2 linked regions of the Saccharomyces cerevisiae S288C genome follow. Changing the gene in region 2 together with the main gene of any one other region gives a genetic interaction. Each region holds a gene or a part of one and is shown on either strand. Other genes may lie near its edges.

The links. Genes that interact genetically often act in the same process or in processes that back each other up.
Region 1: mutations in EFM6 (region 2) and MAK11 together harm fitness more than expected from each alone (negative genetic interaction), as found in Saccharomyces cerevisiae (one large-scale study listed by BioGRID).

The regions. Positions count from the first base shown.
Region 1 is NC_001143.9:396,844-401,385, forward strand, and holds MAK11 (Mak11p), read right to left. Parts: upstream 1,908-4,542; coding exon 501-1,907; downstream 1-500. Other genes in the region: anaphase promoting complex subunit CDC16, read right to left, coding at 1-405; SPT23 (Spt23p), read right to left, coding at 1,989-4,542.
Region 2 is NC_001146.8:585,879-590,399, reverse strand, and holds EFM6 (putative protein-lysine N-methyltransferase), read left to right. Parts: upstream 1-2,552; coding exon 2,553-3,293; downstream 3,294-4,521. Other genes in the region: FAP1 (Fap1p), read left to right, coding at 1-2,137; KSH1 (Ksh1p), read left to right, coding at 3,580-3,798. UniProt on the Saccharomyces cerevisiae protein: S-adenosyl-L-methionine-dependent protein-lysine N-methyltransferase that methylates elongation factor 1-alpha (TEF1 and TEF2) at 'Lys-390'.

The sequences.
Region 1 (4,542 bases), on a different chromosome or scaffold from region 2:
CACAACATTGCCCGTAATGGAATTGGAATTAGAATTAGAATTAGCAGATGGCTGGTGCGGAGTCATAATATTCGCTTGCAACTTCTGTATTAAAGGGCTATTTGCTAACGACTGGTAGGGACTCGTAGCCGTATTGGTTCTGTTCCAGGGTTGCTGCAAACGATCATTCTGAGCATCGGTTGGTAAACTCTGTTGTGTTCTTGCTGCAGATACGTTAGAAACAAATGGCGAGGCGGCCAATGTAGAATTATGTTGTGAATGTTGCTCCGAAGGCGACATGGGGTTTCTCATAAGTACCCTGTTTGACGATTTCAAGTTTGATGTGGCTTTTGATGACTTGTAATAATGTGTAGCCTTTCCACAAATAACGATATAACAATGACAGCAATAAAGACAAAACTTCATATCATCTTTAACGATTAAGATAAATTATTTTATATTATACATATAAACTAACTTTAGTACGCAACAATTCTGAGCTGCACGCATGTATAAGGCGTTTATTCAAGTTCTACTGATACTTTACTCTTCTTCAATTGCTTCCGCTTCTTTTTATTGAGTTTCTTCTTCTCACCAAACATTATCTTCTTTAATTCTTCGGTATCACTTTCCACCTCACTTTGGTCACCTATATCAGCTGTTTCAGCATCCCTCTTCTTCATTGTGTTGTATTTCTCAATGCTTTCATCGCATAGCGTTAAGCAATTTAGCCTTTCGCCACAGTCGTAGACTGCTACTTGTTCTTTTGTAGACATATCCCATACGACAATTTTACCATCAGAACCAATGGTGACTAGGTAGGTACCAAATTCATTCGTATAAAACTTGAAATCTTTAATACGGTTTGTGTGACCCAATAAAGAAAAAGCGGGGCTGATATCCTCCTTGTCGTCATCATCTTCCTGCTTTTCATTTTCTTCAACTTTTTCGAATAACTCCTCACAAGGATAGAAATGAACATTACCATCGCTGATACCAACAGAAAGGTATTCCTTATTATCGAATGGTAAAATATGTGTTTCAATATGCATAAGAGTTTTCCTTTGAAAGACTATTTCTTTAAAAACTTTAGCCGATCCAGTTTCATAAATAAGCACCCTATCCCTTAAACCCACGGCAAAATAATCACCTTTGGCGCCTAACCATCTAACACAAGTCCCGTTTGTATTATATTTTCTTAGTTTTAGTACAGCAGCATTTCTTAGAGTCATCAAATTCCAAAGACGTATAGAATGGTCATCACTAACACTGATGGCAATTCTATTGGTGGGGTGAATATCCACATCATTAACCCTTGCCGTGTGTCCCTTTAAAGTCCCCACTGTTTCCCAGTCCTTTACTCTCCAAACCATAATTTTGTGGTCTTCTGATGCTGATAATAACCATTTGCTATTCTTGCTCCCCTTTGAAACAGCAGCATCCTCACTGGAAGAAGCTGGATGTGAGAATTGTAGAGCAGTAATAGAGCCCTGATGACTTAACAAAGTACCCAGTTCCTTCCTCTTTTGCAAATCATAAATTCTGATGTGCTCGTCATTGGATCCAGAAACTAGGTATCTTCTTGAAACAGCCAAACATTTAATACTCAACGAATGGGCTTGAAAATGAAATATTGGCATAAAATGTGGTGTCTTTGCTGCATCATTTTCCTTTTGATTTGGGATATCTAAGGATAAACACAAAATGTTGTGCTCGTATGAGCCCACAATGATACGAAATTGGTTCTTGTCGCCTATAGCACTCATTTTTCTACACGAATTCTTGACTTGGCCCTTAGGATCTTTTCGAGATGAGGTACCATGAGTTTTCAATTTTTCATGTTCTAAAAAATTTTCGGCCTTGATCTTGAACTTTATAATTCTAAGCAAAAAAAAAATGAAGACAGTATAAGTAGTATTCAGTAACATAAAGAAGATAAAATTCAAAAATGCAAAATAATAAAAAATGAATCTATATAGTGTAAGGATTATGTAGCTAGAAAAATGTCTTTAATTGACTCGCATGTCGTTTAGAATGTTATTGTTTTGAAACTTCGATAACTGCATTTTAAAAGAGGTTTTCATCCTTTCGTTGCCTAGTAGTACCTTGGCTAAACCAATTCTTAAATATTCCTGAACAATTTTGGATAAATTATGAAACATATCATCATCTTTCCCCAAATTCGATAATGTGAAACATAATAAGAGTACTAAAGTTAAGGGGATCCAAAAGAATAGGAGCATCTTATCATTCTGAAAGTTTTGCTTCTTGGAAAAGATTGTGTTGAACCCGACCTGTAAAGCTTCTAATTCATCGTCTTCAGAAGAAGTTTGAGAATCATCCACGGTCATTTGGGCAGAATTATCTGGCCCAATCTCCACAGATTTGCTACCAAGTTCCCAGTTTTTGGGTTTTTTTGGGAACAAGTCTTCATACTTTGGGAGCTCGTCATTTAAACGAGTTAGCATTCTGTTCCATAAAGATCCGTCAGGCTCTATGCTAGTCTTAGTAGTTTTTGGTATTTCATTTGGCTTTGAAGAGAAGTCCTTGATTTTGTGGGTGTTAAAGAACTCCAAAGCAATCTCATCTGAAGATGATTCACAATCACTTATGTCATAACCTGAATCCGAATCTAGGATTGAGAATGACGTATTGTCATTACAGTTGGATTGTTCGGGGGCAAGGGCAGCGGAATCCGCCAATAAATATTTTCTTTCTTGGACATAGTCATGATCAGCATCGTCATCATCAAATAAACTTGAGTTGAAACTTGACTGGGATACATTTCTCTCAAACGGTTGAGTATCACTGGATCCTGTTGTATTCTTCGTTAATCTAGTCAGAATGTCGTCAAACAGACTGGTTTCATAATTAGAATATCTGGTCTTGTTGACAGTATAATTCATCAGGAAGAACTGTTTAGCGATAAAGCCGTTTCTGGTTTTCTTCATAATATTAACGTTGCATTCTAACAATAGTCTTATAATTCTCAAGTCACCATTAATACACGCCATATGTAGCGGAGTAAAACCAAATAAATCTTGGTCGTTCAAATGCGACCCATATTTGATTAGTAATGAGACAAGACTATACCAGTTATTGAATGCTGCCAGATGTAATAGAGTTCTACCCCTAACGTCACACATGGAAAGATTGACGGTAGAGAGATTATTATTTCTCTTAAATGACTTAATAACTTCAGTGATCAATTGTTCATCGTTTATATTTCGCATCATATTCGTGTACGAATTTAAAGAGCTATTCTGTGAGTGTAATCCTGCGTTATTATTAGATGGAGATGAATCACTGCCAACAATCCTTTTAGCAATATTTCTTGCATCTTCCAGTTTACCGTTCATTTTCAGCCCCACAATTTGCAGAGCCAATTCAATTAGTTGCCTATCAGTATCATCAACATAAGTAAAGATTGCTTTCTCACCGGTATACTTGTTTAAGTGCAGAATGTCATTGGTACTATTGCTGGTGGAAACACTACTATTGCTATTATTTCTCATAGACGTTTCACTTGGGTCGACTATGGTTACCAAAACCGGTCCAGGTTTAGATGAAGGCGGTAAATAAGTCACCATCGTAGATTCATTCCAGCATTGGCTGGACAATGCTATATTTTCGCCAAACTTGATGATTAAGCCCTGCTTAAACTTTGAGCCAAGTAGAGTCACTTCTATACCTCCGTTGATGGAACCTTGTGCGGGGATGACACGCTGAATAGAAGGCTTGTTATTTAGCGCCACGGGGACACTATTATGGTTCGATATATCTTTGGAAGAATCGATGAATTTCTGGGGAAGACGGGAAAACGTATTAGGCGTAGACATAAAAGGCTCGTTTACCGAACGCTGCCTCTTGCCAGTGTGTCTCGCAGAGGCCGCACTGAAATCACTAGTTAATGTAGTAAGAGCGGGATTAGATGAACTATTAAAACCTGTGGACGACCAAGAGTCTAGTGAACGATGTAAATTGTTGTCGTTGTTATTAGAAAAATGAATATCTGAAAAAGAATGGTTGCTGTCCTCACTGGAGGAATTTGGTGATGGAAAGTGTCTGTTGTTGTTCATCATTGCGGTATTAGTCTTAATGTTGTTTTTGTTATCATTATCATTGTTGTTGTTATTACAATTGCTATCAAGCATACAGTTCGTAGAAATGACAAAATTTTTACTGTTAGAAGGCAGGGGGAATTCGGATGGGAAGTTTAAGTCACTTTGCGGCGATGAAAAGGATCTAGTGTCATTTGTCATTGGCGAAACCTGGGCATTGCTGGTGCTGGTTGGAGTTGTGGTATTGCTGGCATTTTTCTTGTCCATGATCATTATGGGATCTGTTATAGTTTTCGCCAAGATATCGCCGTTATGGTCCCTTAGAAGGAACAAAACTACAAACCCGTTAGTTGCCTTGTGGTGTCTGCAGTAACAGACGATTCTCGTCGGTAAGTCGAAATTGATACAGTTAGAGTTACCACTCAAACCGTTATTACTAATGATGAAAAGTTGTTTACTATTGAATATGATTGCTCTTTTGTTTTCGTTATTTTGCCAGATG
Region 2 (4,521 bases):
CACTCGTGCTAACATAAAGTGTAGTGAAACAAAGTTTCCCAAGTCCGGTAAGTCGTCGAAGGATGAAAATGGGAACAGGTGGATAGGCGTGTTTGCCTGTGCAGATAATAGAGTTGTCGACTACTCATGTCGCAAGCATTCATTCATAGAATCTTGCATAAGCCCACCCACAATTAATGGAGAAAAGGCATGCCCATTTTTGCCTAGCTCTTTGAAAACTTGTCCCTGTGGCCGGACAGCCCTAGAGGAACTGACTAAGCCTCGTAAGCATTGTGATGATCCGATACCAACCTGCGACTCAAGATGCGGTAAACCACTAAAATGTGGCAAACATTCGTGCCCCTTCACTTGTCATGATAAAGCCTGTATGGAACCCTGCTTGCAAATTGATAGTGTAAAATGTGCTTGTGAGCAAAGTACATTTTCAGTTCCATGTGGATTTCAAGGAAGGCCTCGCTGCAATATTAAATGCGAATCCCTGATGTCATGCCGTAGACATAGATGCACCGATAGGTGCTGCAGTGGTAGGCCATCGGCGATAAGAAGGAAGAAAAACTTGTTCAGAACGCAAGATTTGTTGGATGAGTCTCTTGTGGAAGCAAAACATATCTGCCTAAAACCGTGTAACTTGACCCTATCATGTGGAATTCATAAATGTCAGAGAAAATGTCACCCAGGAAAGTGTCCGCCCTGTTTAGAGAGTGATTCGAACGATCTGGTCTGCCCATGTGGCAATACAGTTGTTCCTGCACCCGTGCGTTGTGGCACGAAGCTACCTACATGTAATCATCCATGTATTAAAGTTGTGCGTGGCGAATCTACGTGTGGTCATAAACCAATGCCACATACCTGTCATTCCTTGGATGTGTCGTGCCCGCCATGTACGGAAACCGTATTTAAACCTTGTAAATGTGGGAAGAAAACTAAAGTGAGAACGGTTTGTTTTCAAACAGACGTATCATGTGGAATAAAATGTGGGATACCACTCTCTTACTGTTATCATACCTGCCAAAAAACATGTCATTTACCAGGAAATTGCCAAAAGGTGTGTAAACAGACCTGTGGGCAAAAAAGGCTCAATTGTAATCATGAATGTCCTAAACCGTGCCATGGTAAGACAGAGTGTCCCGATTTACCTTGTGCCACGCTAGTGAAAATTTATTGTAAATGTGGAAGGATCAAAAAAAGTGTTACTTGTGGCGCAAAAAGTGATAGAGTAAGTGTAACTGAATCTTCCGTGCTGGATTGCAATGAAGAATGTGAAGCTTTGAAACGACTAAAGGAATTGAAGGAGGCATTTGGAATTAAGGAAGAAACCAATAATTTTACAAGTAATGAACTAGATGCGTTAAAAAAACTGGTCTCTGTTGCTACAACATTTGAAGAACTGCAGTTACCGTTTACAGAGGCAGCATTATCAGTATATTCAAAGCAAGAAAGATGGTGTTCACAAATTGAAGCTATTCTTAATAAATTAATGGACGATAAAACACGTTCAAGCTTGCATTTCAAACCTATGAGGCCTCCTCAACGCCACTTCATCCGTGAACTAGCCAAAGCTTACGGCCTATATTCCGAGTCTCAGGACAGAGAGCCCATGAGATCTGTATTTATTAAGAAAGAAGATAATGGCGCAAGCAATAAACCAGTCTTATCATTAGCAGAAGCTTACCCACTATATGAATCATTTAAACAATTGCAGAAGGAAAGGAAAGCACAAGAATTTCAAGCTCGCACCACAGCTAAACTAATCAACTTCGAGGTTCAAGATACGGAACCTAAAGTAGAGGTGGCTAAGAAAAATGGTTTTTTGGTTCAAAATTTGGTTGCTGGAAATACTGCCGAAGATCTAAGGAGATTTTTTGAACCACATCTCAAGCATACGTTAGTAGTGAATCCTCAATACCTAATCCTTGATGATGGCAAAACAGCACTAGTGTATCCTGAAAATTACGAAACAGCATCCGTGAATACCGAACGTGACATGGAGCTTTTGGTTGGACACTTCGATTTTATGGCCAAAGAGGCATTTTTGGCCGATTCCATTTCGTTGTGTTCAACTGAAGAAGAACTTGAAAGAAGGTTGGATACGCCCGTAATTCAAGAGGATAGTCCTGTAATGGATAATAATACATGAACTATAATAGCGTGTCATTATTTATTACGCGGAATTCTAATTAAATAGAAATATCTAACTTTTATTTTTTTTCATCCTATCTCATTTCTTGTTTCTCCCTGTCGTTGCTAAAATACGAGGATCTGCATATGTTTACATATCAACGTTCCCGTAAACGAATGGAGAATACTGAGTGTCACGTTAATAATACGGATATTATAATTTGGAAACCTAGTCAAGTAAAACCAGAAGAGATTTTTCTTTTCTCTTAAGCTTTTTTGGCTTGACCAAACGAAAAGTCCCTCACACCCAAACACTGAAAGTAATTCTTCGTATTTAAATAATTCAAAAGTTATGATGAGCAGGCTCTATGTAAAAAAATGGCCCATAATTTTCCCTAGAACGTTATAAAAACGCGACTAGTGAGGTATTGAGTATGGAGAGTATATTTGGTGGGTTTGGAGATCTAGTTGTTCCTAGGCCAAAGGAGCATCTCGGTCAAACAGACCTTTCCTTCGGTGGAAAATTATTGCCTGCATTGAAAATTTGTGAAGATGGCGGTGAAAGTGGTTGTGGCGGTAAAGTCTGGATCGCTGGCGAACTGTTGTGCGAGTACATACTCGAGAAATCAGTTGACCATCTGCTAAGTAAGACGGTCAATGGTACGAAACAATTTAAAAAAGTCTTAGAATTGGGTAGTGGTACAGGTTTAGTTGGATTGTGCGTGGGGTTGTTGGAAAAAAACACATTCCACGATGGCACTAAAGTATATGTTACGGACATTGACAAGTTGATACCACTATTGAAAAGAAATATAGAACTGGACGAAGTTCAGTATGAAGTTCTTGCGAGGGAACTTTGGTGGGGTGAGCCGCTGTCGGCAGATTTCTCACCTCAAGAAGGTGCTATGCAAGCAAATAACGTTGATCTAGTTTTGGCAGCTGATTGTGTGTATCTCGAGGAAGCTTTTCCATTACTAGAAAAAACACTACTTGATCTCACTCACTGCATAAACCCACCTGTAATCTTGATGGCTTACAAGAAGAGAAGAAAAGCTGATAAACATTTTTTCAACAAGATTAAAAGAAATTTTGACGTTCTTGAAATTACAGATTTTAGTAAATTTGAACATTATCTTAAGGAAAGAACCCACTTGTTTCAGCTTATCAGGAAGTAACCTGACACAGTGAATTTATCTCTTAATGATCCTGATCTTATTATATTTAGTAATGAACTTTTCGATAGACATTTGTAATTCATGAAAAAACGATATAACATTCATTTTTGTAGTGTGGTGTACGCATGGTGGGACTGCTCTTCTTGAGCGAAATTTTGATCTTCAATAGAGTGAGCAACGACAACTCAAGGATAAAGACAGAACAGCGGTAAACATCGTTTGCAAAATAACTAGAGAGCCGGATCGATTTACTTTGCAAAGTTGCGTCCTTTTTCCACGACAGAATATGTCTGCATTATTTAATTTTCGTTCTCTTCTGCAAGTGATATTGTTACTGATTTGTTCATGTTCTTATGTTCATGGGCAGTGGCCGTCTCTCCTAGATCGTTACAAAAATCATGAGGTTTTGGGGGCCTTCTGGAAAATGGCACGTGTTGGTGAAAGGGCCAGTCCATATGTTAGTTTAGCATGTATTTTGATGGCCATCAGTCAATTTAACAGCTGATTGGAAGATACTTAGTCATATGGATTTAAAGTTACGCAAATCAAGGTCATAGAAGGTGCAGTACCTTTTAAAACAAAGAGTATAAGTGGATTCAGACGAAGTGTCTCTTTAATTCTATCGTCTGATAGCGTACAAGTAAGGGTGCTATGAGCTAGCACGCACAGCAAAAATATAAACACTTTTGTATTTTTTTTTATTTTATAGTGTTTTGTGTTGAGTATTCATCTATTCGACCTCTATAGAGATTTAAGAAGGGAATTCATTGTCACAATAAGGACGCATAGTTGTTCATTTTAGACATCATTTACAGCACTTCCGTAAACTACCCCATATTGCGATTGAATACTACCGAAAAGGCTCAAGAATTTACGTGGTGCCCAATCAATTATATAGAATGAGGAACAATGGTAAGTAATGAATAATCATGGTCAGTAATAAAAAAGCAATCTCGTCCATGTTTCTTTTTGAAACTCAGAGCTTGACTCTGTTGCATTGGTATTTCATCATTTGATGAATTATTCACTATTCCATCTTCTTCTTACACAAGTTTACCAATAAATAACTCATCTGAGTTATTCAGACTTTTTATTAGATCAGTTCGGCATATTTAACTATGCAAAAGTTTTACACTGCTAAAAAGTAGTGTAAACAACAAACTGTTAAAAAAATAAAAAGGGGTGAATCCATGGACCAAGAATAGTAAGCTCCATTGGGTTACTCGAT